Oreochromis niloticus: one gene and its partners. The protein of the gene in region 2 purifies or fractionates together with the protein of the main gene of each other region. This does not show direct contact. Links are inferred from orthologs where the notes say so. Each region holds a gene or a part of one and is shown on either strand. Other genes may lie near its edges.

The links. Proteins that work in one complex are often made in the same cells at the same time.
Region 1: the proteins of structural maintenance of chromosomes protein 1A (region 2) and pds5a purify together in Homo sapiens (co-immunoprecipitation; 8 studies listed by BioGRID and IntAct, with this or other methods). This does not show direct contact. The link is inferred for Oreochromis niloticus from reciprocal best matches to the Homo sapiens genes SMC1A and PDS5A.
Region 3: the proteins of structural maintenance of chromosomes protein 1A (region 2) and cdca5 purify together in Homo sapiens (affinity purification with mass spectrometry; 7 studies listed by BioGRID and IntAct, counting the BioPlex papers as one, with this or other methods). This does not show direct contact. The link is inferred for Oreochromis niloticus from reciprocal best matches to the Homo sapiens genes SMC1A and CDCA5.
Region 4: the proteins of structural maintenance of chromosomes protein 1A (region 2) and sf3b3 fractionate together in Homo sapiens (co-fractionation; 3 studies listed by BioGRID, with this or other methods). This does not show direct contact. The link is inferred for Oreochromis niloticus from reciprocal best matches to the Homo sapiens genes SMC1A and SF3B3.

Annotation. Positions count from the first base shown.
Region 1 is NC_031971.2:22,049,722-22,057,698, reverse strand, and holds the start of pds5a (sister chromatid cohesion protein PDS5 homolog A), read right to left. Parts: upstream 3,013-7,977; 5' UTR 2,864-3,012; intron 2,810-2,863; exon of another isoform or gene 2,636-2,809; intron 2,322-2,635; exon of another isoform or gene 2,071-2,321; intron 1,949-2,070; 5' UTR 1,910-1,948; coding exon 1,799-1,909; intron 1-1,798. Other genes in the region: n4bp2 (NEDD4-binding protein 2), read left to right, coding at 4,788-5,028, 5,981-6,965. UniProt on the Homo sapiens protein: Probable regulator of sister chromatid cohesion in mitosis which may stabilize cohesin complex association with chromatin. May couple sister chromatid cohesion during mitosis to DNA replication.
Region 2 is NC_031984.2:20,061,124-20,069,008, forward strand, and holds the start of structural maintenance of chromosomes protein 1A, read right to left. Parts: upstream 3,011-7,885; 5' UTR 2,741-3,010; coding exon 2,632-2,740; intron 1,615-2,631; coding exon 1,426-1,614; intron 1,060-1,425; coding exon 947-1,059; intron 685-946; coding exon 481-684; intron 1-480. Other genes in the region: ribc1 (RIB43A-like with coiled-coils protein 1), read left to right, coding at 3,600-3,798, 3,961-4,178, 4,303-4,417, 4,704-4,822, 5,415-5,651, 7,523-7,689, 7,850-7,885. UniProt on the Homo sapiens protein: Involved in chromosome cohesion during cell cycle and in DNA repair. Central component of cohesin complex. The cohesin complex is required for the cohesion of sister chromatids after DNA replication.
Region 3 is NC_031985.2:14,016,643-14,023,709, reverse strand, and holds cdca5 (sororin), read right to left. Parts: upstream 2,194-7,067; 5' UTR 2,162-2,193; coding exon 1,379-2,161; 3' UTR 513-1,378; downstream 1-512. Other genes in the region: psmb2 (proteasome subunit beta type-2), read left to right, coding at 2,435-2,525, 4,041-4,163, 4,300-4,370. UniProt on the Homo sapiens protein: Regulator of sister chromatid cohesion in mitosis stabilizing cohesin complex association with chromatin. May antagonize the action of WAPL which stimulates cohesin dissociation from chromatin.
Region 4 is NC_031972.2:7,732,596-7,740,484, forward strand, and holds the start of sf3b3 (splicing factor 3B subunit 3), read left to right. Parts: upstream 1-4,877; 5' UTR 4,878-5,035; intron 5,036-5,583; 5' UTR 5,584-5,641; coding exon 5,642-5,711; intron 5,712-6,065; coding exon 6,066-6,221; intron 6,222-6,516; coding exon 6,517-6,687; intron 6,688-7,872; coding exon 7,873-7,889. UniProt on the Homo sapiens protein: Component of the 17S U2 SnRNP complex of the spliceosome, a large ribonucleoprotein complex that removes introns from transcribed pre-mRNAs.

The DNA of each region.
Region 1 (7,977 bases), on a different chromosome or scaffold from region 2:
AGTGAGCTCATTGTCATGTTCAACAAACCACGGTGAGATAATTCGACATGGTGTGTTGTCCTGCTGGAAGCAACCATTATACGATTGATACACTGTGCTCATACATGGATGGAGATGAACAGCAACAATAATCAAGAAGGCTGTTGAGTTTAAACAGTCTTAGTTGATACTAAGAGGCCCACTGTGTGCTAAAAAAATATCTCATACACCATTACACCACAAGCAGCCTGAAACTGTGTATACAAGACAGGATGGATCCATGCTTTCATGTTGTTTACACATAATTCTGACACTTATCATCTGAATGACACATGAGAAATCAAGGATAATCAAAGCAGGCAATGTGTTTCCAATATTATGGTGCACTATTTTTGTGGAACTCAGTTTCAATTCCAATATATTCCATTCCATTCATTCTCTTCCGCTTATCATTATCAGAATCGTGGGGGGAGCTGGAGCCTATCCCAGCAGTCATTCAGTGAGAGGCAGGGTCGCCAGTCTGCCGCAGGGGTAACACATAGAGACAGACAACCACGTTCAAACTCACATTTACACCTATGGGCAATTTAGAATCAACATTTAACCTAACCTCACCAGAGTACCCGGAGAGAACCCACGCAAACACATGGGGAGAACACGCAAACTCCACGCCGCCCCAATTTCATTTCAATTCAGTTTTATTTATATAACACCTAATCACAACAACAATCACCTTAAGGTGCTTGATATTGTATAGGAAATCATACAAAAATACAGAGAAACCACAACAATCAGATGACCTGTTCTTAGCTGATAGGAGTGGCAGGCAAATTGATCTTATGTAGCCCATCTGTTTCATCAAAGTTCAATGTCTCAATGGTTCAGAGATTCTCTTCTGTATACCTTTGTTATAATCAATGGTTATTTGAGTTACTGTTGCCTTCCTATAAGGTCAAAGCAGTCCTACCATCTGCTTTGAAAATCACAGCATCAACGATCATACCAGTCCATCTGACACCTAACATTTTCAAAGTCACTTAAATCATCTTTCTTCACTTAAGTCATGTTCTGACAGTTTTCTTGACCATGTAAGCATGTAGTTTTTGCCATGGGATTGATCAAAAATTTGCATTAACAAGAAATTAAACGGGTGACTAACAAACTGGCCATTGAGTGTATATATTTTAGTCCTACAAATTTAAGAAAAATTGGCTTACAGTTGCCCCAAATTAATAAAAACAGATAAAAGATACTTCTAGTATGGCCTAACACTGTTGTGCTTTTTAGGCTAGTTCTAGCTGTCACATCTTTTAAAGATGTGGTAACTCCTTAAGTTTTATTTACATCCAAAAAGGTCAGAAGACTCTTGTTTATAATCAGTTTTATTACTGCGGGTCCCTTCTTAAATCTTACTTAAACATGACTCACTGTTCCTGTTTTGTTCACCAGCAGTAAAAATAGCTTCAGTGTGTAACGTTTGCTTTTCTTGCATTCAGATTTTGGGACCATCCCATTTTTCCAGCCTGGGGAGATAGGATGAAAGCCTAGAAAAAGTTTAGGCCTATGAACAATACCGCCGCCTGTTTTGTATGGTGTCACACTCAAATTTAAAAACACTCTGGTAGGAACAACATGACAAGGAGTATTGTTTACAAGCAAAATAAGAGCCAAGACAACAAGGGCCAATAATGACTTAATATAGAGCAGTTTACAAAGTTAGAAGGGTTTTTGGCATTGCGCCATGGGCTGGACACTCTTAAATGACGTTAGGGCAGCACAAATTGTGTTTTATTACAGCAAGAAACCCCACTAAACATACCTTCAATCGTTTGACCATCTCATCGTTACTGATTTTGTCCGTAATCTCTTTAACTCCAGGAGGATAGATGATTCCTTCCCCCGCCGGTTTCTGCTGTTGCGGGAACTCCATGCTTGTTGATATATGGTCCACACGGTCTTTTACTGGCCTCTATGGGTCAGAAAACAAAAGTTCAACACAACCATGCTACCGCACTTACCAAAACCTCGTTTTAAGCATCTTCCTTATTTGCCAATCATTAATTTTGTTTGCTGAAACTGATAAAACCGTACCTGTATATTTAACTATATTCTAATCCGGTTAACTTTTCAGACGGAAAGCAAGCAGTAAACAAGCATCGTGCATAATATTAGCTTGCATGCTAAACGTGCAAGCTAATAAACATCAGCTCTACATTTTCCGTAGATTTCTCCTAAATCATCGCCTGGATGCAGAAACGATTTCAGCTGCTGTTTCGGTAATATCACAGCTATTACTACAGCTAAACAGTTGTAAAATCACTTTAAATAACAACACGAGAGGCGCTGGTCTATATCTACTGTCATACTGGTTATTACATTAGCACGCTAGCTGCAATGCAAACATTACTAGCTAGCGGTTAGCATTTTGCGGGAAGGAAGTCATGTTAGCAGTTAGCATTGAGCGGCTAGTACACGTTAGCTAACTGGTTAGCCTAGGCCGCAAACTATTCAGGTACCCATCACATCTCCAGCTACAATCACAGAGGAAGTTAAGTATCCTCTCCTCTTTGCCTAAAATAGCCATGCTCGTGGCCAGTTCCTGTGCTTTACAACTAATGCAACTACTTTGTGAAGTTTAAAAATGAAGCTAATTTACTTGTTACTGTCTTTTCTCAACTTCCGAGCATCGCTCCGTGTTGCCGCTAGTTCACAGGCGAAAGAAGGGCTGCTGCTACCGTCGCCCTGAGCCCTCCTCTCTCAACACCAACTTGCCCCACGGATGATTTTGAACACCCTAACAAATGCAAAATGACTCTATTTTCAAATATACGACTGCGACTCAAACCCCGGGTTGTTTGCCAAGCGCTTCCTCGGTAGTATTTACCTCTTAAACAGGCCGTTTTAATTCATTAGTCTGACACAGGTTGGGCTTAGTTTTCGGCACAAAGCTCTCTGTCCGTTCAGTCAGTGCTGTTTGTGTGAAGGCTGGGTGCAGAACGCCCCCTTCAGTATCAGACGGGTACTGATGCACCACATACATGGCGGGAGTCTGTAACCGATAGCTGGCACACTTTCTGTTCCTCAACCCACTGTGGGTTTATCCTTAAAGTGAGCTCATATTAAAGAACATTTTGAACTCATTAAATGCAATCTTTATACTATTTTATCTAAACTGGCATATAATAACATACACACATTATTCATAGTCAAAACACTGGAAATATAATTGTATTTAAATGTTATTTGCAACAGGGTTAACTCTTACGTATGCTGAGACATATGCTCAAACTACCATCAATTTCCTTTTTTTAAGCCTGAAATTTGTTGACTTTTCCTAAAGTGACCCAAAATATTTTAGACAGTTGTGCAGGTACTATACTTTTTTATACAGGGAGGTTGTGCTGGGTAAAATGTGACCCATGTTTATTCAGATGGATTTTAGATCCACCAGTGTGGGTTAAATCGATTAAAAATTATGTTTTTTGGACATCTTGAAACTGTACATGCCACATCTGTGTGTATGTTTGTTTTTCCTTTGTTTTGTTTTTTGTTGGGGGGGGGGGGGGATTTCTCAGTGAGTGTGGGAAATGTGCAAATCAATTGATACACACAAGCATTTTCTTACAGCTGCTTTTAATGCACAGAATGCATTTGTGTTCTCAGGGTTAATTAATATTGAATTAATACTGATGAATAAATAATTATGAGGATATTTTTGATTATCTATAAGTGAGGAGAGTGTTTAATGGTTATAATGCGTATATGCTATTATAATAAATCCCAACAGTTACTGAATCCATCCTTGCCATTTTAACTTTCAGTATAACATAATCAGCTCATTATGGCTATTATGTTTTCATGTCTTTGGTAAAACAGGTTCTGTCAACAATTATATCTGCTACCTTTAAAAAGTAAACATAATTAAGTAAAAATGATTTATGCACCCTTCAAGATAAATATCCAAAAGTGCTCCAAAATTAAAAAATCAAAATGCCAAAACATTGAAACAAACAGTGACTCAAAAGCAAGTTGAAAAAGATGAGTTTTTAGCTGGTTTCTGAAAGAGATCAAAAAGCCCACAGATCTCAGGCTCAAAGGGAAGGTTCCAGAGTCTGGGCTTGGGTGGGGGGCGCTGATTAATAATAACTATAAACACATAGTGACTGAAAAGAGGTTACTTTGGGAATGCCCGATCTAACAGTTTAAGGAGGCAATAGTAATTTTCAGTCTTTGCTACTTTTGCTCAGTCTGAGCAGTTTCGTATGGACGCTTGTCTAAAACAGATAAAAACGGGGAAAATTTAGTTTTTATTTGATTTACTTGTTTATTTGATTTTTATTTTGGGGGCATATTCTCAAAGTTTGACTTGATAATTTGAAATCGCAAGGTATTTTCTCAGATGTTTAAGTTAATAAATATAAATTACGTAATTATATCTAATTTACAATTAACTCGAATTTTCGTATGATTACCCGAAACTCTGACGTATGGATATATATTTTTTTTCAATGGCGGAAACAAGCTTCCACAGCAGGGTGTGACATTTTTCTGAAAGGCCATGGAAATCTGTGGGCGTTTCAAGTAGGCGTACTGAGAAACAGCCTATTATTTTGAAGTTACCCTTTTGACTTCCGGTGGTTTGCTTCCGGTGCACTTGTGTTGTCGTTCGTACTGCTATAGATAGCATTACAGAGTTTTTGCACTTTGGAGCTACAACATGTTTTCAGCTTTGACCCGTCCTCCTGTAGGTCATAGGCTACTTGGCTAGCTCTGTTAGCTGCCAATGAGAGCAGCTGGTGACCAACGGAATGCCTCGGAGAAAGAAAAACGGCCAGAGTCCGGGCAGGCTCCCCGACGGCGGTCCAAATGAGCGGGGAAACCTCGGTCAGAGCACGGGTTACCCACTACAGCAGGGACACGGCGGTGGTATGTCCAGCAACTTTCCACCCAATACCGTCAACGATGAGATCGTCAGAAGCATGCAGGAGATGTTCTCACATCTGGACCCCGAAGTTATTTACATCGTGCTCTCCGAGTGTGACTTCAAAGGTAACGTGACAGACGCGCCGTGTTACTTTTGGGAAAGGTATTTGTTGTAACTTGACTAACCAGTTAGCTGTGTACAGTGTAGCCTCTTAGTCATGCATTTCTGACAGTACTGAGGCGTTTTACTACGCTTTGTAGGCAGATCAGGACCGACATATAACAATACAAAGGCACAAAGACTACCATCAGTCATTTTGTAATTTCCATTTTGTTTTTTTTTGGATAAAGGCGCACCTTAAATAGTCCAGGAGCAGAGGTGCTATGGTGGATTGCTCTCCAGTAAAACCTGAAGTCCCACAACAAGATGATGCACGAAAATATCAGACCACATATGCTGTCTGTGTTATTTTGTTAGCATATTTATAGTCTCAGAAACACTTAAAATTCTGTTCGCGTGTAATGACGATTTATGTACTCACATTAACTTGCAGCGCATATTTATTCCTCATACATGCACAGATATAACAGGAGCTATACAATAAAATATAATAAAATAATAAAAAGCGTCTGCTGGGATAGGCATGAATCCACCTTAAAGATGGCAGCTGTGCAGCAAGTAATTTATCCAACATCCGTGACTCTGTGTGTAACGGCTTCACCTGTCTAAGGTCTAAAATCCAAAACAAATCCAGATTTGTTTCTGACGAGTCTCCTTATAAACCTCTGACATCCTGGTCTGCTTATGCTCTTCTGACAACCTGAGGATGTAAAGTCACTGAAGAGCAAACATATGGAGCTTATTCATAGCTACCAAGTAACAAATCATCAGTTTTTCATGCTGTGGCTGATCCATAGATTTTACTCTACAGTGAGTAAATAAATCAGTGGTTTTATTTTGCTCTGTATAAGCTGTTTAATGTGTTAAAATGGCACTCAGATATTGAGTGCCGTTTTAACACATTTAAGATGTGCATGAAAACGTTCTGCTTATCTTATCTGTCTTTTTGTGTCATAGTTGAACATGCAATGGACTCCCTCTTGGAACTTTCTGTGGCTGCTGAAGACACAGTCGCTGCCCCACCCTCTGTTTCTGGCTTTGAGCGCACTGCTGCAGCCTTGCTTGCCCCACAGCACTTTTCTGAACCCTCACAGAAGCCTTCCTCTCCTCCCTCCTCAAACCCGCTGACAGAAGAGCTTGACCTGCTGGTTGATCAAGAGTTAGAGACACTAGCTGTGCAACAGGATGTTGGTAAGGAGCACCACAGCAGCAAATATTTATCTTCTGGTGCATCGCTTTCTTCTTCTTTCCCTCCACCACCACTTCCTCAGCAAGCTCTCCCTGAGTTGCTTCAGTCCAGCCTGGACCATGGATCTCGAGAGCCCTCTGCTGAGCGGCTTGGCCCTGAAGGACGTTTCATAGAGCATAAATCTGGAGCTTCTTCTCCGCTCGACCAGCTCAGCACATGGGAACAAAAGAGCACAGAAGGGCAGCAACCTGTAGTGGATTTCACACACCTGACAACAGAAACATCTGCAAACACCCCAAAACCTGCCTTGGACCTGGCAGCTTCAGGGCGTCCCTCTGCTTTCCAGGTGTATAAAAAGCAAGAGCTGACACACACTCTTTCAGAGAACGCTGGGGTCATGCACTCCGACAGAGGAGCGAGATCCAAGATGAACACAGTGAATCCGGAGCAGCTCGACCACTTATCAAAACACTGGAACCTGGAGGCACCAGTGTTTTCTCCTCGTATGCATGGAAACCAGATGCCGGCCTTTATTACTCCCGTGGCTCAAACACCTTCATATTTGTCTGTCCCCTATCTGATTCATGGCCCTCTCTCTCAAGCACCTCTCAAACCTTCTGCTACTATTCCAAAGTCTTGGGCCCAGCCTGCGCCCCCACAGCTTCCTGCCCGCAACAGCAGGCTTCGTTTGGAAGGGAAGGTGCTTGTGCTCCTGCGGGGTGCTCCGGGGTCTGGCAAATCCACCTTGGCAAGGTAGGAATGTTTTGATGGCCTAAAAAGTAATAGGAGGTTTTTCTGCAAACCTATTTTTTAAATCAGCCAATAAGGTGCTCAGTTTAGATTTCTTGGCTAGGTAAGATTTGAGCTTTTAGCAACAAATTTTGGCCTTTCTATTTTTACAACATATATATGCAAAACTTAGATTCTCCTGCCTTGTGTATCTTCCTTTTTCTTTTTATATTTTACTACAAAGTGCTACAAATAATACTTCAACAGTGAAATTTAAATATCTTAAAAAAATACCAGAAAAGATAAAATATTTGTTGTTAAATTACTGACATATTATTTAAATATAGCACTGTACAAAAGTCTTGAGCCACCACTCATTTGTCCATTTTGCTTTGAAAATGGAAATGGGTGCAGGAATTTATTCAAACATGCAAACTGAAATGCAGTTTTTGAGCCAAAAACAGAGTTTGTTCTGTTCTCGGGAACTTGAAATGTAGTATTTTTTATGACCACTTTTATTCTCCAAGACACCCTGGTCTCTTAGGCAAGCTTTCTTGTAATTTTGTTACTTCAGAATTAGTTCTCCAGGCTTCTTGAAGGCTAGGTTCAGGCCGCTGGTAACACAGGGCCTAATGATACAATTTAAAATAGCTTCTTTGCTAAAGCATCTGTTATTTATAAACACAACACCCATTTTAATGGTCGAATGATTCATAGGTCAGAGTTTTTAGTAGCAAAAAACATTCCTCTAAAAGTGGTTCGGTATAAGGATGAGTGAAAAAGCAACTGATTTGAAAGACCTTCAATATGTGTGGAGAACTGTTGCTCAAGCACTGTAGGAAATATTGGAAATCTTCTTTCACAACTTTAGCCTGTTTCCATTAGTTGAATAGTATGTTGCAACCTTGTGTTGGATGTTTTAAAGACAGGGAAGAGACTCTGTTCCAGAGTGACAACCAACACGATAAAATGTTCACATGATCTAAATATAAAAAAAGATTACGGGTCATTGGAGAGATGATTCACCAGTAGTTTA
Region 2 (7,885 bases):
ATTCAATTTTCCATCAGATAACACAAAAAACTAATCACGAAAATTCAAAAGTTTGTTTTAAGGCTATTTTTGAGTCATTTCAAATAAGAAACGCACAGATTTGCTGCCGATTACAGTGTAACAATCTTTACTTCATCTTTGTGTTGTTCACCTAACACCAAATTTTATCTCTTATATAAATATATATGTGGGAAAGATTTATATGCAGGATGTGCAGTTGAAACTGTTACATTGCTGAAAGCTTATGTTGAGCTTTGATAAAAGTTCCTAGTTTGTCTTTTACTGTTGAAGTTTGGTGCATTCATATGAATGACAAGTATTTGCATTATCTGGAATTATATATTACCTAAAATCTGTTAGAGTAGAAACAGGCTATACCACTCAATGAATCCTGTATGGAGGAATTCAGTAAATGCAAATAACCATAGACACTAATGATGACACTCTGGGTCCTATGCAGACTCAGTAAAAATGGCAAACCTCTTCTTTCTCTTGCTTAGCCTCTTTGCGCTCTGCAGCGATGTTTTTCTTGCGATGATAGTTGAACTGCGTGTCCTCCTCTGCTTTCACCATCTCCTTCTTCCTCCGGTCATACTCCTGGGCCAGCTCTCCTGAACGGGAGATCTCTTCAAACAGCGCTGTACGCTCTTTGGGGTTCTTCATGGCAATAGACTCAACAGCTCCCTTAAAGGGAAATAAAGACAAAACTGAATTTTAAAATAGCAAATAAAATGTTACCTGGTGTTAATTTGATCTCTGGTCTAACTGGCCAAGTCACGTTCAAACCAATGATATACACACACACGCACACACACTAAAAACTTTACTACTGCACTATCCAATCAAAATAACCTAGTGGATTAGTACAGGAGTACTATGAAAGACTGCCTGTGCATAAATTGCTTTTGAAAAGATCTTGACAACATTTACAAGAATTAAATCTTACCTGAAAGACCAAGAAGTTCCTAGCCTTTATCAGAATTCCAAGTTTTTCCAGTTCTTCGCTGTATTCAGGCAGGCCCACTACTTTACTGTTGATGCGATACTCAGAGGAAGAACCTGGTGCATATTCCAAAAACAAAACAAGCATTAGCTCATCATCAACACACACAAATAATATACTATACTATTAAACTATATTATTTTATATACTACAGTAAAAAAGTGCATTTTATTTACAATTTATAAATGTAACAGATTTTAAATATTTTTTAAACGCCAAATGCCAAAGATGTGTAAAAATGTTTTCTTAGATGATGAGTCAATTTTTGAAAACTGATATCCATGCAGCTTTACTACTATCCTTTTATTCAGCTGAAAAGCATTCAAATATTACTAGATCAGTGTCTCTTAATTCACACAGACAACTATTCAAAAAGAAAGTTAATTTTATATTCAAGGACAGTTGGTAATGGAGCTTCGTACCAATAATGACTCTTGTGAAGGCACGTTCTTCTCCATTATCTTCCTGGTACACCATACTGACAAAGGCTCTGTTGGCAGCTGGCTTCCCTACAGGCGCTCCATGGATTAGATCCTTCAGAGTCTTCACACGCAGGTTACTTGTCTTCTCTGCCAACACGAAGCTGATGGCATCCATAAGGTTGGACTTTCCTACAAACATTGTGATGAATCTTAGTAAACTTTGGGACCTTTTTATATTAAAAGGCATATGTTAAGACCATGTTGCTGCCATCTACACATTCAGTCTCATACTGATGCACTGCACTGCAATATACATGGACTTGCAGTTATGTGTATAGGTTTTTAATGATTCATTTATACCTTAATATTTGTACACAAAGATCTGCAATGACATTTATACTTTAAGAACCCTTGAAAGCCTCATGCTTTTATACATAAACAGCAACAACTATATATAGGCTTTAATATCCCTTATGTAAATCATACTTTGTTACCTAATATTATTTTGTACATTGTATCTCAGATTCTTATAGTTTTATTTATTTGTTTTATTTAATGTTACATAATTAAATTATATATTTTTTAATTCTTTCTAGTTGCACACTGTGGGATGGGGAAACAACGATTAGATCCTATGCATGTCCTGTAAATATTACAGTAAGGTTCACTTTTTATTTGTAAAGTCTGGTACCAAACAGCAGTTCTGCAATAAAATCCATCTCATTGGCTATTAGTGTGCAGTTTTTACACGTTGTTTTGTTTGAGTTGATATGGCTAAACTTACAGGCCAGATAGTTTTGATGATGCATTGCACTGTATTACGAGAAAAGACCGTTGAAAGTCTTTCTCTTGTGTAATGGGTCCAACACCAATGTTTACAAATATATTACGTGCCTATACGACATAAGTGCTTAAACGGTCTAATGGAGTGACTTCAATAAAAATGCAAAAACGACATTCTACAAACTGACAACCATAAATACACCGAAATAAAGTTTAAATAAATTCTATAGTGCCAAATGTAAACATGAAACACTACGATACATCACATCACCAACAGTTGAACCTCTGTCCAGTTCAGCTGTGCACAGACTGAGAGTTATGATCCAAATAGAGCGGGGCTGTGGAGCTCTGTTTACCGTTAGGCACAGCTAGCAGTTTGCATTTCGCATTAGCTTCGAGCTTATGTTAGCTGTCATTACATACCAGATCCATTGGGTCCGATGATTGCAGTAAACTTGTGAAAAGGTCCGATAATCTGCCTTCCTTTATACGACTTGAAATTTTCGATCTCTATCAGTTTTAAATAACCCATCTCGTTCTATTTGTTTAGCTGGTCTGCAGTGAATATTAGCTTAGCAGTTAGCTAATGCTAACAACCAATGTTTACCCGGTAAGCTGTTGCAAAGACGCAGTGTGCACGAAATGAATGAACCCCTCTGGTCAATCTACTGCTGCTCTATGCACAAGTTACATTATGATCTGCGCAATCGTTTTAAAAATTAAAATAAAAATTATAATCTTTATCAAATATATTCGGTACGGCGGCGACAACAATGCGCCATTTTACAATCCAACAGGAAGACCCACAAGCGCGCGAGACACGAAACCTCACAGTTTCTCGCGAGACCAAATTTAGTTGTCTGGCGTTTGTCGTGTTTTGATTGTTATCTCGGCCTTGGATATCACTTTTTACTACTATTAATGCTACTTTATTACAAATTATACACATTATTAAAAAAATAAAAAGACATTTCCTTAGCTGGTCCTGTCACTCTCGTTATGTATTTCCAGCATATCGATGTGTGTCCACATGTTTCCATGGTTACCAAGCGTCTCCAAACACAACAGGAGCAGATTTTCATTCACTGATATTGACTGAAAGAAACTGAGCAGATTTATAACGTCAGCGGTAAGTGGTGTATGTCCATTTTTAAGGAAAAGCCATTTAATTTAGTCCACTTATTCTTTAAATATGCCTTTAAAGAAGCATTGGTTTTTGATGTTATCAGGTGATGACAGGAGCAAATCGCTCTGAAGATGAACCCCACCAGGATTTTATATTTCAATCGGCATAGTCATTTCTTTAATAATTTATTTTCAGGCAAGATTATCAGCTCTGATAATAAGTGTCGTAATGCTGTCTCTTTAGGAAGTCACTACAAACTTTGAACATGTACAAAGTGGATTTGCCTGTAGACGAGTCCACGGAAAAGGCTGTGGAGAGGCGTAAGGCTGCAGAAACAGCACGCAAGGCCCGCATTTTCAACACCCGGCTTCGTGTGATGGGTCTCGACCTAGATACACTAAACCAACAAGTCCAGGAGAAGAAACACCAGCAAAACATGGAGAAACAAAGGGACAAAGCTTTGGGTAAACTGAAGGACAGGGATGAGGTAGAATTAAAGCAGTATAATTGCAGACATAATTCCTGCAAGACGCTATAAATGCAAGTCCCCTGGTCCCCTTATTGTTTCAGGCCCTCTCCATTAATGAGCTTTGGTTGGTCACAGGTGTATTTTTAATGTATTACAGATAAGTTGAGAATATGCCAAGATGAAGTACTGGTGCAGCAGAACAATGCTGAAAAGGAGAAGCGAAGAGTTTTGAATTCTGAACTCACCAATTACTGGGCTACTCATCAGCGAGCAGAGGACTCTCGTGATGCTGATCTTAAATTTGACCTGAAGGGGGCATTCAAGATCGCCATTCCAGAGGATGAGCTAGGGCCTGCCAGTATGCAAATCTTTAAGGTAGGGCAGCTCTGACAAAGCAGGTGATTTGTATGCTTTAAAGACCGGGGGGGGGGCTCCAGCTAATGGTTAAATATGTAATATTGTTACCGCTTATGGTCATCTGTCCTTGTTTCATGCACAGGGAGAGGGTGTCGGAGAGGAGCTGAGGATGAGAGAACAAATAAGAAAGACAGAACGAGATCTGCGAGCACAGATGGATGAGAATGAAAAAAGGCACATGCGAGACAAGCACATAGGTGAAAAGAGACACACACACACAAGTACACACATTCACTAGCATTCCTAATGAGCTTACATCCTTTACTCTACAACCTCTGTACATCACACACATGCTTCATGCTTTCCTGCACAAACAATCATACACTCCCATGCACAGCCCTTATTACCAGGTGACAGTGATGGATGCTCATCCCTAAGAGCCTTACTGTAAGTGTGAAGTGTGCAGTTGAAGAGCCACATACAACCGCTAATGCAGGTGTGAAAAACACACATCAGATGATCCCCAAATCATGTGTGTCACAGAGATGCTTGTGAGCAAAGAGCTGGTGCAACAAGATGTGAGAGGGGCTCAGCAAGCTGCCCTCGAGGAGGTGTGTAAGAGAGCTACCCGCATCGCGCTCGACAACTACAATCAGGCTCTGGTACAGTATATGTGCACACTCACAGATGGACAAACAGATATGCACACACCACTCACTAATGTGAATCCTCAAGGCAAAAATCTAAGGGGGGGGGGCAAGCTGTGACATGATGTTGTCATGTGGGAATTGCAAGCTGAAAATGTCAAATGATGCATGCACACACTTGGTGCAGGATGGCGGCAATCATATTATTTGGCACCAGGCAACATGGATGGTTAAACAGCTTTGATGTATGCGTGGTTACTGTCTGTTTTTAAAAGCCCCCATTTAGCTCTTCCCTCATTTGCCTGAATGCACTCGGCTGAATCCCCCATTGGGAGGCATCATTGTAAATTCTTCAGGTCACTGTACTTTTTCATAGTGTTTAGTGGTTTCACTAATAACCACTCATGATGCACAAGCAAATACAGCTGACTGAGTGGCTCTCTCAGGACGACGTTCGCCATATGGCTGACTGGTAGCTCTATGCTAGGAGTAACCACATTTTAGAGACTGGGTTTTGCAATGCTTCTGAATCATCAGTCATCAGTGGGATAATCAATTAACTGTCCCTGGATCTGTGTTAAAGCCTCACCATGCTCTGTACACACAGGCTAAAGAGCAAGCAGAGAAACTGAAGGAGCAACACAAGAGAGAGGAACAGGAAAATCTGGCAGAGATGTGGCATACAATGACATCTGACATGATGACAGAGTGTGCAGAGGCAACAGAGAGACAGGTGGGAGGAGGGAGGCCACCACAGGTTCTACCAGACAGGTGGAAAGGAATGAGCCCTGAACAGCTGAAAAGCATTCAGCAGGAGAGAGAACAACAATGCCTTGAGAGACAGGTATTACACTCTGTACTCCACAGTAATATAGTCAAAGCTGCACACAGTATCCCACATATGGTATGTAGAATACCATGTGCACACAATCCCTTGAGTACTTGTGTGTTTTGTTAATGCGACTTCAGAGGTGGCCAGCGGGGGAATTGGGCGGGGCAAGTACTTGTGCTTTGGCACTGTGGGACAGAAAAACTCTTGTTGAACCTTAGACAGAACCAGGCTCAGGGGCAGGCAGCCATCTGCCGCGACCATTTTGGGATGAAGGGAAAGAGTTTTTGACATCTGTGCCAACTTTTCTACATGGGTTGTTTTCAAAAAGGGTTGTAAACTTTTCAGCTTTGAGGAGATTACTCATTCACAAAGAGAATGATCCTAGACTTGAAAAAAAAAAATTAGATGGAAATGTGAAAACTACAAAGTCTGTAATCACAAGTAAAAACAACCAAAAAAGCAACAGTGCAATATTAATAGTAAAAATATACATTTATATGAGATCTATACCTTCAGTCCATAAAATAAAAGAAATATATCAAGATAATTAAAACTAATGACAGATGAGTATAAATGATCATTTAAAACCAGTGAAATAAGTAGAATTAAAAGCACAAAGTTCATAAAACAAAAAGAAATAACTAAACTAAAAATACTTTAAAAAATATATTAAAATACTAATATCAGTCATTATTAAAGCAGAGTTAAGGGAGCCACCTGCTGAAAACACTCTTGACGGGTAGGTCATGAAGGGGATGTTGTGTGTCGTCCAGTATGTTTAGCAGTTTGTGCAACATCCTGCTCTTAATAACTACCTCTAGGGGCTTCAGGCTAGTCCCCAGCACAGACTCAGCCTTTAATCAGCTTGTTCAGCTTTCCAGTGTCACTGGCTCTGATGCTGCTACCCCAAAACAAACCTACAAAGAAGATTGCACTAGCAGTAACAGACAGTAGTGTTTTACTGAATTCATTAAATGACCCAGAAAGCCTCAGTGTTGCATTTCCAGTCTAGTCTATTATTGATGTGAATACCCAGGTTTTTGTAGCTCTTCTCCCACAGTGGAAAAGGTGTTCAACTTAGGTTTGTCCCTCCTTTTTGTTTTGTTTTAAACACTGCAAATGTTGGAGTACTCCTGGTGTGATTCAGAAGGTTGTTTCAGCAGCGAATCAGAAAAGATAAAAGCCACATCACCAGTATTGGTTAAGACTCGGTAAATAATCCATGAGGTCTGCAGGTAGCTTACTAGCTTGTCAGATAGATATTGAGGTCGCAAACATTGCGTCACCGTAAAAAAGCACTAACATCTAAAAATCAATTCTAAAACTAATTGGAAGCCATTGAAGTAACAGGAGCACTACTAGTGTCCATCAAGCCAGCGGTGCTCAAACCAGCATCCAGGCACTGAAAGTAGGTTTGAGCAAGTAATAAAAGGTCTTATTTTAGTGTGCTGGAGATATTAAAAAAATATACCATCATATATCAGTTTTCTCCTTATTCAGGATGATGGTATCTTCTTAGTCTTTCTAGTGTACTAAAATAAGGCCCTAAACTTCCTGTTAGTGCCTGGACCTGGATTAACAGGATCAACATTGATTTCAAGATGCAATAGTGGCGAGAATAAGCATAAACATAAAGTGCTAACACAGAAAAAAAACATTTGAGTGGATCCAGTTACCAAGCCATAAGACCTCCAGCAGATTATTTGGCTCTGAAGCTTTGCATTTTTCAGTGTTATCTACAGGCATGTTAAAGTCACCCAAAATCAGCATGAAATCAAAATCTGAGGAAGTCTGGGAACCTAAATCATTAAATAATGAAGCAGAATTGCCTTTAGGAGAACAAGTATAGTGCGTTTTTAGATTTATTTCCTCTCTGCCTTCAGAAACAGCAAGATGCTGAAAAGATTCGGGATGCAGCTTGGGACCTGAAGCTGCTGAAGCTGTCCAGAGAAGCCGAGAAGGAGGATCTGACAGCAGCCGAGCTGAGTAGAGAGCGGAGAATTCAGATGGACCGCTACAACATGCAGCTGGCCCGAGAACAGCTGGCACAGTAAGCACTGCGCACATATTCATGCACTCTCTGATTAGACACTAGTCAGCAAATGTGTTTTAGGCTTAGGTGATAAAGTATGGAAATATAGATTTCAGATTTTATAAACATTTTGGGGAACAAGCTACTTACTGTGTTTAAATTTCTGTTTCTGCCCCAGGCAAGAGTACCTGAATAAGAGACTGTACACCAACAA
Region 3 (7,067 bases), on a different chromosome or scaffold from region 2:
AGTCATAAATAAATCAACAAATCCTGACAAGTTTTCAAGAAGCATTGGTTACTCAGAACATAGCTCCTTGTTAGTGCAAATGATCCTCTATCAACTCCTTTAAGAGACTCTGGAGGAAAAATGTCCACCACTCTCATTAAACAGAGACACATTGCCCACTCAGTCATTCAGTTCACCTCATCATAACCACTGGAGACCACCTCTTTGCTGTCAGCGTGCTTGGTTAGCACCTTGTTAGTCTGTGCTGGCTAATCCTGAGTGCCATCATCAGGCAATAACTCAGTACACATTTCAAACCTCAGAATACTAGTGACAGATTAAATAAACAGATTTCTGTGTAATATTCATTTTACAGCTGGAATAAGATGAAAATACCATTTATAATGTTGCAAGTCTGTGATGGTCGTCTTTGTTATTTTCTATTTCTTTTGTTTTATAAATTAAGATATTGTTGGAATTTGTGTGTAATTTGGGAAAAATAAAGGATAAAACAATTTACTTTGACTCAGAAGTCAGATCCAGCTTTAGCATTTATTTACATGAAAATTTCCAAGAAAAGACACATAAGAAAACAGTTCAGGACGAGAGTATTGGCAACTGCTATAGAACCTTTGTGTCAATAAATGTGGATTCAAACACTCTATAAAAGAGGAAATATCCTGGTTTTAGATATAGAAAATTATACCAAAATCTTTTGTTTTCAGCCTCTATTACAAACATTAAGAGAAACAAAATGTACTCTACAGGGTAGAAAACTGCCCCTTTAAAGGCTACAACTCCCCCTGTATTATGCTTCCAGGGTGACACAAGATTCTTTTTGTCTTCATTTTATTGTTATTTATTCAACCCTTATGCCAGGGGAGATAATGAAATATTCATAATAAGATTATAATAAGAACACAACTGTCTTAAAAGCCTTTAACATCCCACCAGAGTAAAAGCGATGGTCACACACCAGATAAAAATCAGTGAAAGGCATCTTATTTGAAAAATACCAGCGCCAGTCAACAACCCTGATATTTGCTGATATATTGTTGCATCCTGACTGATTTTACTACAGGTGAATGTATCTAAAAATTTTAATTTTGGTCTTGTTTGTGTAACTATGGGGCCATTATAACATCAAAAACTATCCTGTCTGCAAGCATCCACAAAATGACTAGCAATCACATTAAGAGCATTTACAGGAACAAATAAACACAGGAAACTCCAAAATGATCAAACTTTACAATAAGAACAAATAAAAACAGATAAAACTTGAATGTTTAGAGTAAGAAAAGCACATTTTCAGCAGAGTCCTCCCAGAGTCAGTGTTTGTGTGCATGTCTGTGACAAACACAAGCATGCTGCCCAAGTCTTTCTCTTTTCCCTTGAATATTTACTCCACGACCAGTTCAAACTCCTCAGCCTGGTCAAACTCTGCATTCATCTGTGCAGCCAGAGCGTCAAGTTCCGTGGTGTCTATCTGCTGGACCTTCTTCTTCCTCCTCCTCCTCTCCTTCACCACAGCCACTCCGGGGATGTCTGGGTCCGGCTCGGGGAAAGCTGAACCACCGCAGTCATCAGCCTCAAGCAAAGACGTGAATGAGTTCAGTCCTGTAAATGATCCTGCGGAAACCTCCAGGCCAAACTTGGACACCCCGGCTCTCCGGACCTCTGGGGTTTTCAGCTTCTCAAAGCCGAATAAGGTCTCACGAGACTCGGGGCTGTTGAAAGACTTCTCGCTGAGCCTGCTGTAAGATCGGCGTACCTTCTGCGACCACACCGCGTCTTCTGGATCCATCTGCGAGGGATGAGAAGCAGGCGGCGGTGATGAGGGTAGGATCGGTGAAGGCATAGCGGCCTTCTTTTTCTTCTTAGCCGAGGAAGAGCTGCTCTCTCGGCCGGGGACGGGACCGGGCGTGGAGACCTGCTTTTTCTGCTGGATGCCCTCAGAGCTGGACGGCCTCGGCGTGTTCTCCTTGTTCTGTTCCGATAACGCGACTGTTTTTCTGGGCGCTATTTTTCTCACAGTGATTGAGCGTTTAACAGCGAGAGACGGCAGCGCCATTTTGTTGTCACTTTGAGCTTGCGGAGAGCTCAGCCGCGGGGAACGTCTCCGCTGCGAGCTGTCAAGGCTATTAGAGTCCGTCATTATGCTCCGAGGAGTCCCTTCGTTCATCCCAACAGTCTCCTAAAGAAACTCCAGATCTTTTTTCTTCTCTTACAGCGGATCAGACTGTAACTCAACCAACACAGGGCACACAACAACAGCGAACGTTCAAATTGCCCGCCCGCGTCGCGTGGAAAACACGAGCTTCCTTTGCTGTGACGTAAACACTGTGCGCCGGCTATCACAAACTTTTGCTGTGTAATCCATACAGGCGAGGCAAAGAGACTGCTCATAATTTAATCTGTTTTATATAAATACTCCAACTTCTGTCAGTTCAACAGAATGGAATATTTAATCGGGATACAGGGACAGGATTTTGTCCTCGTCGCCGCTGATAATGTTGCAGCAAGCAGCATCATTCAGATGAAACACGGTATGACAACGCGTTAGCTTGTAGCCTTAGCCGCATAGCCGGTTATTTTAGACATACTTGCTAACATAGCTACATTTTAGAGTCTCTAAATGCATTAAACCGGCTTTCTGCTTCTAATAAGTAGTACTTGAACCATTTTTTAATTCTTTTTGCTAAATATTTACATGTAACTATACACTGTGAATGTGACTAGAGCTAACAAAGCTAACAGTAGAGTAGCAAATAATATGTTCTATCGCAGTTTGATTTTTTTTTCTCAGCATTATCATAACCTTTTCCTAGCTAATAGATCAACTCTACATTTCATTCGTAACTAAAGTTGGTAACCTTTGCATGAGCTGCCATAAGAAGGTTACTGACAACGAAAGTGAAAGTCACTGCATCACTGTGGAAATGGAAGTTTACTTACACTCACCATGGATAATTTTAACCTATTAATGATTTGTTTGATCTGTTCTTTTTGCAGGGTGAAATGATTGTATAGCATATATCTTTAATGAATAAAAAAAATGAGAGTTGGGAGAACAAGTTTCAATTTATTTCGTATTTTCACCAACCCACACAGGGTCAAATATATTCACACATCCTCAGGATTATTTGGTTCCCTTAGCAAGTTGTACCTTGATCATATACTTTTGGAAGCCATCAACAGACTTGCATAATTCTGACTGGGTTTTGACCACACTTCTTGATGCTTCAACCTGCAAGCTGTTAAATAGGGGTGAGGTTGAAGAATTTGGAGGTAGCCCTTCATCATTATTCTATGCATTTTGTTTAAAGTACCAGCACCACTGCCAGCAAACTGCCCCAGAGCATGATGCTACCACCAGGCTTAACAGGTCACCTCCTCCAAACAACATCTTGTCATTGTGGCCATATTTCAGTTATTGTTTTGTCTGGCCGTAATACTTTGATCGTTGACTGGTCCATGTTGTCTTGTCCATGTGGTCAGCAATTTTGGAGCAGGGGCTTCTTTCCTGGTGGGCACCCTCTCAGTCCATGGCGATGCAAACACCCTTCGCTGTGCACTGTGCCACCAGCAGTTTTTAGTTCAAGGTAGGCTTGAGCCTTGGTGGTTCCTGGGTTGTTCCTGAACAGCCTAATCAGTTTCCTCTTATCTGAGAGTGACAGTTTGCCAACACCTGGGGGAAGACCCAAAGTGGTGACACATCCATACATCTTGTACTTGCATACATTTGTTTGAACGGATGATCTTGGAATCTGTAGTTGTTCAGAGATGGCTCCGAGAGATCTTCCTAACTTGTGTAAAACTACAGTTTCTTGGGCTTTTTTATTGTTCTGAGTATTTGTCAATCCAAAAAGTGGTGTCAGTCAAATCCTTTTTATGCTGGAAAAAGAACAGTTCAGAGAAATCATCAATAGCCCAAAGTTACCATGGTCATGATTAGTGTGTGTGTGTGTGTGTGTGTGTGTGTGTATAAAGGTTTGACTACAAACTGTAAGACAATTTAGGAACAGACTAATGAATTTGTGTTCTTCTTTATATTTTTTCAGACTATGACAAGATGTTCAAGCTCAGTGAGAAGATTTTGCTGCTGTGTGTGGGAGAAGCTGGAGACACAGTGCAGTTTGCAGAGTACATCCAGAAGAATGTGCAGCTCTACAAAATGAGGAACGGTAAGGATCTCAGACATGATCGTTGTGATGCTGCTGGTCCTTATAGGTTTTAAGTTTAACTCTAAAATGTTTTCGGGAAACCAGTTTGCTTGCTAAAAACATTTATATCCAAAGTTTTGTGCCTTCTTTTTCTTAGGTTATGAGCTCAGTCCAGCAGCAGCAGCAAACTTCACGCGAAAGAACCTGGCAGACTATCTTCGGAGCAGGGTAAATGTCCTGATATATTTATTAAAAAAACAGAATAATGTAGTAAGACTACACGGATATAAAGTCAAAGTGGTCAATTTTATTTTAATTTTTGTGTCTCATTAATTTTTGCACCGGCTAATCGAAGACAGTGTGGTAAAGAGTTGGAAAACTGTAAATTATTTAAGTTATTTTTTTAATTTTTTGTTATAAAGAAGGTTTCTTTATTTCTCTTGCAATGAAGAAGTTTGGTGGTACCACATAACAGAAACCAGATAAGTAAGAACAAACTTTTGACAGATTTATATTTTACACATCAACATTGGTCGTGACTGGAGACAATCTGTACATCCCTAAGTACTACAGTCCATTTTACTGTGTGCTTCTTTTTTTTTTAATTGAAGAAGAATGGCTTCAAGCATTGTCTTTTAATATAAGAATTAGCTTGAAATTATAGGTGTATTCGTTATTTCGACAAGTAAAAAACTTTGTCTGAGTTGTTAGTTAATTTGTTGGCACAGTGAAGATTACCTAATATGATCATTCAATGCTGAAAACAATAGGGTTGCACTTGAATCCAAATTATATCAGTAGAATCAGATTTGATCATAATATTCTCACGTCTTTGTTTGTTTTTGTTTAGTCGGTTTTAGTTAGTTGTATTTCTTTTGCAGTGACCAATCATTCTTCTTTAGTTTGTGGTTCCTTGTCCAGCCACTTAATAGTTGTTGTAATAAGTAATACTTTAGGAAGATATTTTTTCTTAAGTGTACAGATCAGTTAATATATTACCTAAATGTCAAAGGAAGCTAAACATTTTTAAGCACTGAGTTGACTAAGTCAACACCTTGATGTTTATCTGTGGAGGAAAGTGTTGAGTTTCCAGCAGCATATGTCACACCATCAGGACCCCACTCTCTGTTATGGGCCCATTAATGTGCCGATTTAGACTTGTGAAAAAAGAGATCCTTAGAAAAATAAAATTCACAAACGAGTTCATACGTTTGGATAGAAAAAAGATTTAAAAAAAAAACACTTAACAAAGTGAAGAAAAAATATTTTACTTTACCTTATGTCTATCAGAAATCCACACATTTTTTATTATTATTATATGTTTGATATTGTAAAAATTATTTGTTGAATGCGGCCTCACCTGATTGCTATTTTTTTTTTTTTTTTTTTAAAAACTGTCACAGCCACGAGCTTGACGTAAAGCAGTGGTCGTAACCTGTGTTTTGTGAGAGCTGTTTTCTCTTGCCCTGGGGAAAATGTGGTCTTTTGAGACTAGAGAGCAGAGACTACAATCATAACCAGTATAATTGTTTGACTTCAGGTGCCTCATACACACTATGCAGACATAAAGAAGTGATATCTTTTGTGGATGAAAAATTTTCTCCACCCTGCTTATTCAGAGTTTGATCATTCTAACTGATCCTTTGCAGGTGAGTCTCCACAAATCACAAAGTTTTGCCTTAATGAGTAAAATCATAATTGGTGTGAAGATTTAAGGTTTCAAAAATGAGCGCAGATAAAACAAAATAAAGAAATCAGCAAAACAATGCAACATATATCATATTTGGTGTTCGGCTAAACATTTTTTCGTCACTAGTTTCAGATATGATTGAGCCCAAATGACTATCATGTCTAACAGAAAACAACCTGAGCTCGCTTAGTTTCCCCACAGATATGTCATCTTGCAAAGATGCATTTGTTCTGCCTTGGACTCTCTGTCTTCCTCCATATTTTACTTTTTGCTTCAAGTATACTTCTACCCTTTTGCCTATTTTCAAATCATCTCAACACTAGTATCCTTGTAAATTTTCTCTGTTAACAACAGTTGCTAATTAATCCCAAGTTCCAGTGGTCACTGTCTGAATTAAGCATATTCATCCTGGAGTAATGAATGAACATACCTATAAATATTTTAATTTCTATTTTAAATTAATTACAGTCTTCTGCCAGTATTTGCAATCTCATTTGGCTTAAGGGAACAAATGATAAAATCACCAACTAATTCAAGTAAGACTAACCATATAAGGTAGGTTTACTCATCCAATTTAAAAATGTATTTTAGTTTCTACTTGAAATTCATTTTCTTTGCTCAAAATGAAAATGAAAACATAGTAACAGAAGCCCTAAGTGTGTTGATGACACGGCAGCGTTGTGGTGGTGCTGAAGAGGTGGTATTACAGAGGAGCTCAGGTGGGAATGAACTCCCACTTGAGTTGGCACATGTGTTTGTATCATTGTCAGCTTGAGACACTCATGTTAAACCAGCAGATGCATTTTGACAGAGCCAGGTACATTTGTCAGCTTGTTGTGAAAGGTGACTGAGGGTTCTCCCTCTGAGATTTCCTGTAACACCTGAGCCTGCAGGCCTGTCTCTCACCCTCACTACGCAGATCTGCTGAATGTCTTATCAAAAAACTCTGGTTTTGACCTTTAGTGTTGTATTACATCTTTTACACAACAAGCCAGCCAAGACTGAGATTTCCAAATGCGCAAATTACTGCTACTTTATCTGTATTTCTTCATGCAGAAGTTATATTGTAATATATAGAGGTGGTGGTGGGGGGTTCAGTACCTTAACACTTTAATGTTAATTAACCATTTTATTTGTCTTTGTGTTAAAAATGTTCCTGGTGACTAATTTACTAGTAGCTAAAATATTTTTAAAAAGACTAGCCGAGTAGTTTAGTGGCTCTTTCTCATAGAAAG
Region 4 (7,889 bases), on a different chromosome or scaffold from region 2:
GATTTTGGTTTGTGCTGATATCTTTGGAAAAAGGTTTCTTGACTGACAAGTTGGGATCTAACATCACAAACTGATATCTGGTACCACAATGTACCAAATGAAAATGGGCCTCTGTAGATGTCATGGTTCCCTTGCCCCCTTTTGCTGGCCTGCTGCTTTCTCTCTCTCCTCTTTTGGTGTGTGCCTGTGTTGTTGTCCGTGTGCTTGTCTTTTTTAGGGGATGCTCCTCCACCTTCCTGTCCTTCAGTCACTTGTCAACAATCAGCTGATTACTCGCCTGTCCCTCACGAGGTCTTCATGCTGGCTTCTAAACAACCAGATCATTGCATTACCAAGGTAACATATCATGCCACAGTCATGTCACATTTTCCATCAGTTCTTGCCTTTACTCACTCTCTGTTTCTGTGCAGACGTTTCAGCGCTACGGATCTCCACAACCTTCTGTGACAGTGTCTGAGTGTGCCTTCAGACAACCTTCACTACCTCTGCCCCGTCTCCTGGAGCCCACAGTGTTTATCCTGTATTCATAACTATCTGCAAATAAACCTGTAAAACTTTAACACAGTGTCTCATCATCATTCTGTTGTTTTCATAACAGTACACTTATGTAGATATTCCACTAAATCTCATTTGTGATTTATGATAAATGTTACCATTAATTATTTATATATCTTTACACTTCTGAATAATTTAGTAAAACATCAAAAAGATTTTTACTGTTGTCAGAAAATAAGACATTTCTAATTCTCTACAAACTTTTGAGCTGTAGTCTAGATTGCAATAATAGTGTATGGTTATTGTTTATAGCAGATGAAATAGAAGTATCAGGACAGGGTGTGAATAAAAGTTATGAGTTGTGTTGCTGCAGAGAAAGTTGTTCACTCTGGTGAGGTCTAATGTGTCTAATGGGAGGCTGAGCCTTCAGCTTTCCTGTCACTGTCCTGTGTAAACAGAAACGCTCTCGTCTTTTAACATTAAACTCATAACTTTCCTTTTTGATCAATCTTATAGCTACAGCTAGATCAGCTGACCCTGTCCCATCCTTTAGTTATGCTGTTATAGGCCACAACTGTATGGTTTAAAAATAAACACTCATAAAAAATCATTGTTTCATTGTCTGGTTTATTCTTTTTCCATTTATCGATTATCCAAGTCCTTTTTCCAATGTAATTTAGAGAAACAGAGAAACATATGTCAATACTAAGCTGTTAAGAGGCTACTTACAATAATCTGAAACCTGTATACAGGCTGTGATCAGCTGATCTGTTGCTATTGTTGACCTGAGGTTTACTGCTTTCTGTGGATTTACACAACTGAATCCAACAAGATGTACACAGATGTTTCACAGATGTTTCCATCCCATACACCAAGGCTATTCAACTAAAAAGGGACACCTGCATTCATTCCAGCCCACTTTAATCTGCGAGTGTAAGCAATATAAATGATACCATTGGACCTAAACTAATCAGTCTGTTTCTAAAATCTCAGAAGTAGACAGTGGAGATATTTGCTTACTCAAGTAAAGCACAGATACCTGAAAATTCTTCTTGAGTACAGTAACAAAGTATTTGTAATTTGTTACTTCCCAACCCATTGTCTCGAAAGTACCATTTAACAATATAAACCTCTAGGCTACACTCCCACACAACAACAAAAATCAGTATCCTAATGAGGTCACACGTGTAATGTTTATCTTTAGGTACACAAAGCAAGGGTGATCCCCAGCACAAAGACACTTTAAAGTGATTGGCACAGTGATTTTACTTCAGAAACATGAAGAGGTAGAAAGGAAGCAGCAGTTTTCCACTTTACTACTCTCTCTTGTCCTTTTGTGCAATAAAAAAAGTAATTTCAATATCCAGGCTGTATACTGCGCTACCATTTTCCTCCCCTGGTGCATGACCTGAAATCAGCTGGTTGTAGCTGAAATGCAAGTGGAACCGATAAGCAGGTGTCTTTATTAAATGTTTTTGTTACTACAAAGTCAAAATTTTATGATGGTTTCAGTATTTTAATCATTGCAAGCCCTGCATGTTTTCTGGAAGAAGAAATGACGATATCATTAATTAGATTATACGACATCCGAATCAGATTTTAGAGGAAGAGTTCACACCAAAACGAAATGTTTGCACTTTCCTATGTCCTATAATGTTATGGCTTCATTCTAAGACATCTGCTAAGGAAATGCCAGAAATGCCTGCCAATAAAACTGAAAAAAAAAGATTAAAATGTTAGTTTCTTCATGGCTCATAAAGCAGCAAAAATCAAAAAATTGAAAAACATCTGGAAAAACTGAGAAGCAATATCTATTTGCAGAAATGATAAACTGGTGACTTAACACTTAAGGGCTGGGGGTTGGGTGGGGTGCTCCATAACTGTTTTTGTCATGTAATTGGATTGCACTTTGTCAGGCCTCTACCCTAAGACCTGACCAACTTGGGTGTCCCACCTGAAGGCTAAGCTTCCGCTGATCTAGCTTTTAGGGTCACTGAGGCACGCAAACCCCCTGACCACGTTAAGGTGGTAATCTCTCAGGGGGAAAACAGAAAAACAAAACAACAAAAAATAAAATAAAATATTGCTAATCCGATTCTAACAACTCAAAACATGACATTTACCTTAACCGGATGGCCTATATAATAAATATATTCGAACCCAACAATAGTACGTCACACTACTGCCAATATCAACAAAACCAAAAAGGGTAAGCCAAGACATAAAAATAGACAATTCACAAAGTCTTGAAAAATAAAACTGAAAAATAGAAATAAAGAATAAAAATCCTCAATCCACTCTATAACAACAGTCTCCTGCTTCTCTTTCCAAAAATTCTTACAGATTCATCCATATCCAAGTTATATGTTATGGACTTCTCATGGGCCAAATTTCTCTTTCCTTTATGTAACAAAAGTAAATAAGCTTTACTAAAATCGCTGTAATTACATCAGTATATGAAACGAGGTAACTGTTGAGTGCAGAGTTGAAAGCTGGTCTGACAGACACAGGTGCGTCTGTGCAGCAGACTATGGAACGCCAGGACTGCCATAATGAATAATTAAATACACCATTAAATAATTAATTAAATGTGGCAATAATTAATTAAAATTGGAAATAATTAATTAAATAAATATTTACGACATATTTAATTAAATAATTATTGACACATTTAATTAATTATTTAAAGGTGTATTTAATTAATTCATTATGGCAGTCCTGGCGTTCCATAGCAGACAGGCTCACAGTGGGATTGAGAAATAAACACTTCTCTACCAGACTGAAACTGTGAGAAGAACAATGGCCTAGTCCCCCACTGACTGTACAAATATAAACTTATTTTTTAGTTGTTAATTATCGAGTTCTTGTGCATAAAAACATGTGGAAGTCTGTGAAAGTGCACCTTGTGTAGGAGTCGCAAGGAAAACCTGTACTAGAGAATGAGCTAAAGCAGCTCAACTTAGTTTCAGTATGGAAGCGCAGAGCTGCCACCCAGGCAAAAGAAAAATAGAAGTATATCACGTTATAACGTGAAAAGTTTATTGTTCTAACAAGATACTTTTCATGTTTGTACAATATACTTTTCACGTTTGAACAACATAATATCACGTTATTGCAATATATATAATTATCACGTTCGTACAATATAATATTTATATTGTACGAACGTGATAATTATATTGTACGAACGTGATAATTATATTGTACGAACGTGATAATTATATTGTACGAACGTGATAATTATATATATTGTAATAACGTGATATTATGTTGTTCAAACGTGAAAAGTATATTGTACAAACATGATAGTATATTGTACAAATATGAAAAGTATCTTGTTAGAACAATAAACTTTTCACGTTATAACGTGATACACTTCTATTTTTCTTTTGCCTGGGTGGCAGCTCTACGCTTCCGTAGTTTCAGTGTTTAAACTGTCATTTATATTTTTTCAAAGCAAAGCCCAATGCTGTCGCCACTGAGTGAGCATCAGCGCCCTCTGCAGTTTGTGTGTAGAAGTCAAAAAAGCTTACAGCACCTGGTATTCCCAGGCGGTCTCCCATCCAAGTACTGACCAGGCCCGACCCTGCTTAGCTTCCGAGATCAGACGAGATCGGGCGTGTTCAGGGTGGTATGGCCGTAAGCGAGAGAAATAGCACATAAAAGGCCTTTTATAGGTGGCAAGTGTCACCCAGTTTAATATACATTATTGCGTTTTACAGCGAAAACATGCAAACCTTCGTTATTAACTGCAGCTTCAACATTGAGGTACAAAAATGCTTTTCCCGCAGTAACATCTCAATAATAACACTTGTTAGTTTATTACAGCACCGTGTTAAAGTGACAGAGAGCACACGGTGTGTTAGGACGATTTGTAACGTCAACTAATGCCTTCTTATGAAGGTACGTCTGTGTATATCAGTGATCATTATATAACTAACCTAACAAACTCCTTTTGCCTTGTTTGCTTTTCCCATTATCTCTGCCTACCTTGGTGCTGCTGGACCCCGCATTTCTCTGACGTCCCTCACATGGGCCACCCCATTTTAAAAATCTTGCAAAATTTTTCTTAACAGCTTTGTAATTAAGTTAAATGTAACTTAATATCAAGGATACAAACATCATTGTTTATTTTCTACTTTTTGCCTTTCTTTTCTGGTGTGCAACAAGCATACAGGTTATTTATTGTTTTTGACTAAATAGTAGAAGACGTAGAGTGCTATCATGATAAAGCGTGCAGAAGAAAGGGGCAATAAATGTAGTGGGAAACTATTTTACAGATATTGTTTTTCTTATGGCGCCCATTCGCGATAATTCCGTTAATCTTGAGGTCTTTGTCGTCATCTGCTGTGCACAATACAGTACTACAGTCTCGCATTTCCGTCAGGCACTGTGTGGGCCAGCTCTTGCGACGGCGTTTTGGCTGGCGAAGGACCCACCAACGGCGGTTCAGCGTCGGCTTCTCAGGGTTTCAAGGAAATAGTTTTCGTAAATGAAACTTTATCCATCTGAAATCAGAGTCATCTTACTAAGCACACCGGTAAATATTATATCTTGCAGATCTGCATCTTTTCCGCAATTAAACGGACGTTTAATGTGTGTGAAGTTTGCACTAGCTAAAGTAATATAGCAAGAAAAAAAAAGGGGGGGAAGCGTTAATCAGAAGTGGCGCTTTGTATGAATGGGCCATGTTCTCAGACTCTTGGATTGATGTAAACGATCTTTTTAAGTAGTTTAAATTCGTGTTAAAGGAATGCGTGACCCCTATTGCACGGTTTAAAAGCACAGAGGGTAGTACATAAATGTCCGGGGAACGTTAATTTTCTCACAGCTAATGTTGAGCTAACGTTAGCGGCGCCGTAGGTTTTGTGTCCAGCAAACACTACACCGCTCCACCAACTTTTCATAGCAATATTGTGATGAGTGCAGTCGCTATGTATTGCTCCACAGTCCACTACAGCTGACCTCAGTTTGAAGATCCCTCATTTGTCACCAGTGCGACCGCGTAGCTTATTGTGACTTTGTCCAGTGGTCTCAAACTTCTTGATTCCTTACTGTAAATACACTTTTGGTTTTCTTTGTTTACAGTTCTGAGCCGGGTTAAGCGCTCTTTCAGCTTCCTCTGAATAAGATTTGAGTGGAAGCCATGTTTCTCTACAACATCACCCTGCAGCGTGCCACTGGCATCACCCATGCCATCCATGGAAACTTCTCAGGTGAATTTACGCCAGATGTCACTGCTTTATGTCTGGTTAGGTCATGGTTAATTTATCAAAGCTTGGTAACCCTCCTTTATTGTCAAAGAAGCCTTTAACTGCAATCTCTATGAGAATTAGCAAGCACATTTAATTGTTTTATTTAAGTATCTTTTCTTGTGTTTGTATAGTCATTAGATTTTATCCTATCATGGTGTTTCACTCATTATGTTGATGGAGATAATGTAAAGCGTAGTTTTCTCATGGTTAAAAAATACATAAAAGACATGTCACATAATGCTTTTTTAAAAGCAGGATTTAGGGAAAACCAACAAAAATATCTACGTGATATGTCTGATTTGTCTGTTTTGGTAGGAACCAAGATGCAGGAGATTGTTGTTTCCAGAGGAAAGATCCTGGAATTATTACGACCAGATGCCAACACAGGAAAGGTGCACACTCTTCTCACAGTAGAAGTGTTTGGCATCATCAGATCCCTGATGGCCTTCAGACTCACTGGAGGAACCAAAGGTACAGAAATTACATCATATGCACTCACATGCATGTGTTTGTAACTCTAAACATGCATTGCACAGATTAAATGGCATGTATTAATAATTTTCTCTTAAGTGGTTTTTATTAAATTTTTTGTCTGACACTGATGTATTGTTCGTAGTTGCTTTCTTTTTTTATTCATTTACAATTAGGAGGGGAAGTTGGCCTCCATTGGCTTTCATTACCTAAGCTTTAATTACATGATAGTATCATAATTAATCTAATGTTGACATGCAGGTTTAGTTTCTAAGTGATATTTATGTATTTTTAGATTACATTGTTGTGGGGAGTGACAGTGGTCGTATCGTCATCCTGGAGTATCATCCATCAAAAAATATGTTTGAGAAGATCCACCAGGAAACATTTGGGAAGAGCGGTTGCCGGCGTATTGTTCCTGGACAGTTTCTTGCCGTTGACCCAAAAGGCAGAGCTGTAATGATAGGTGAGAATTTTATGAAGTATGCATGAAATCAGCATTTGACCAGTATGAGGAGTCCATCCTATCAGACAGAACACAGATGTTTGTGCTCTGTTTAGTTTTATTGTGCTATTTTCCTTCTCTCGTAAGATGAGCACCCTTTATTTGACAAAGATGAACAAGAGCTAACTTTATCATACACACTGCTAGGATTTTATGTGTAATCTACTGTGGTGTGTTTAGCGTTGGATGTAATCACCACGAAAAAGCCCATTCAGTGCCAGGAAAAACCCTTGCATTACAAACCAACACTGAAAACTATGTACTCCAAAAGAGTCCATCAGTTAAGACTGATGTGTTTTAAAGGTATTTATTATAATGTATGTTTTTTGTTTTTTTTAGGGTTATATAGTGTGCGTGAATCTGCAGCTTTGAAACTGCATGAAGCTCTTTGCAGCAAGACTTTATACAACCTGGCCTGTAGTGATTTTTAAATAACTTAATATATAAATATATAAATAACTTATTTAATTTATTTGTTGTTAAGTAGGCTGCGTTTAATTTGAATCCTTTGAGTCCTACTTGCATTTGAGCAAAGTGGGCCTGGATAGCTTTATAACATCTATGTTTCTAAGTAGGCCTAAACATACTAACAGATGCCTCTCTTTTTTTTCTCCCCCAATTCAAAATTGTTCCATTTGGTAATAAATTACTTTTATGATTTGACAAATGCAACAAAACATGACATTTTTAACGAAACTGCAAAGTTGATAGGTTTTATAATATGTTTTGTGGCTCCATACAGTTATTTATTTATTCATTTATTTATTTATTGGCAAAGACAAAGGTTGTCAGCCTATTAGATGATAATTTGGTTTATAGGCTGATGATTATTTTTCTTATATTTGGGCCTTGGTGTGTTAGTATAATGTCAATGGTGTAAATATTGCTATAATTGACTTAACCCCAAGAGCTTTACAGGTGCTTAATATAATAAACCAGCATCAAATGCTATAAATTTGGTAGTTCTACATCAGATAATTTTACCTTTGACAGAAGTGCTTTGTGGAACAATTACGATGTTAAATAATGTGTGCTGAATTATTGTTGTTTGAATCCTGAAGAAAATTTATATATACACATATAAATAGTTGTATTAAAACCAGTTAAATGAAGCACTTTAATGTGTTTTGTCATTTATCTGACTAGGAGCGATAGAGAAACAG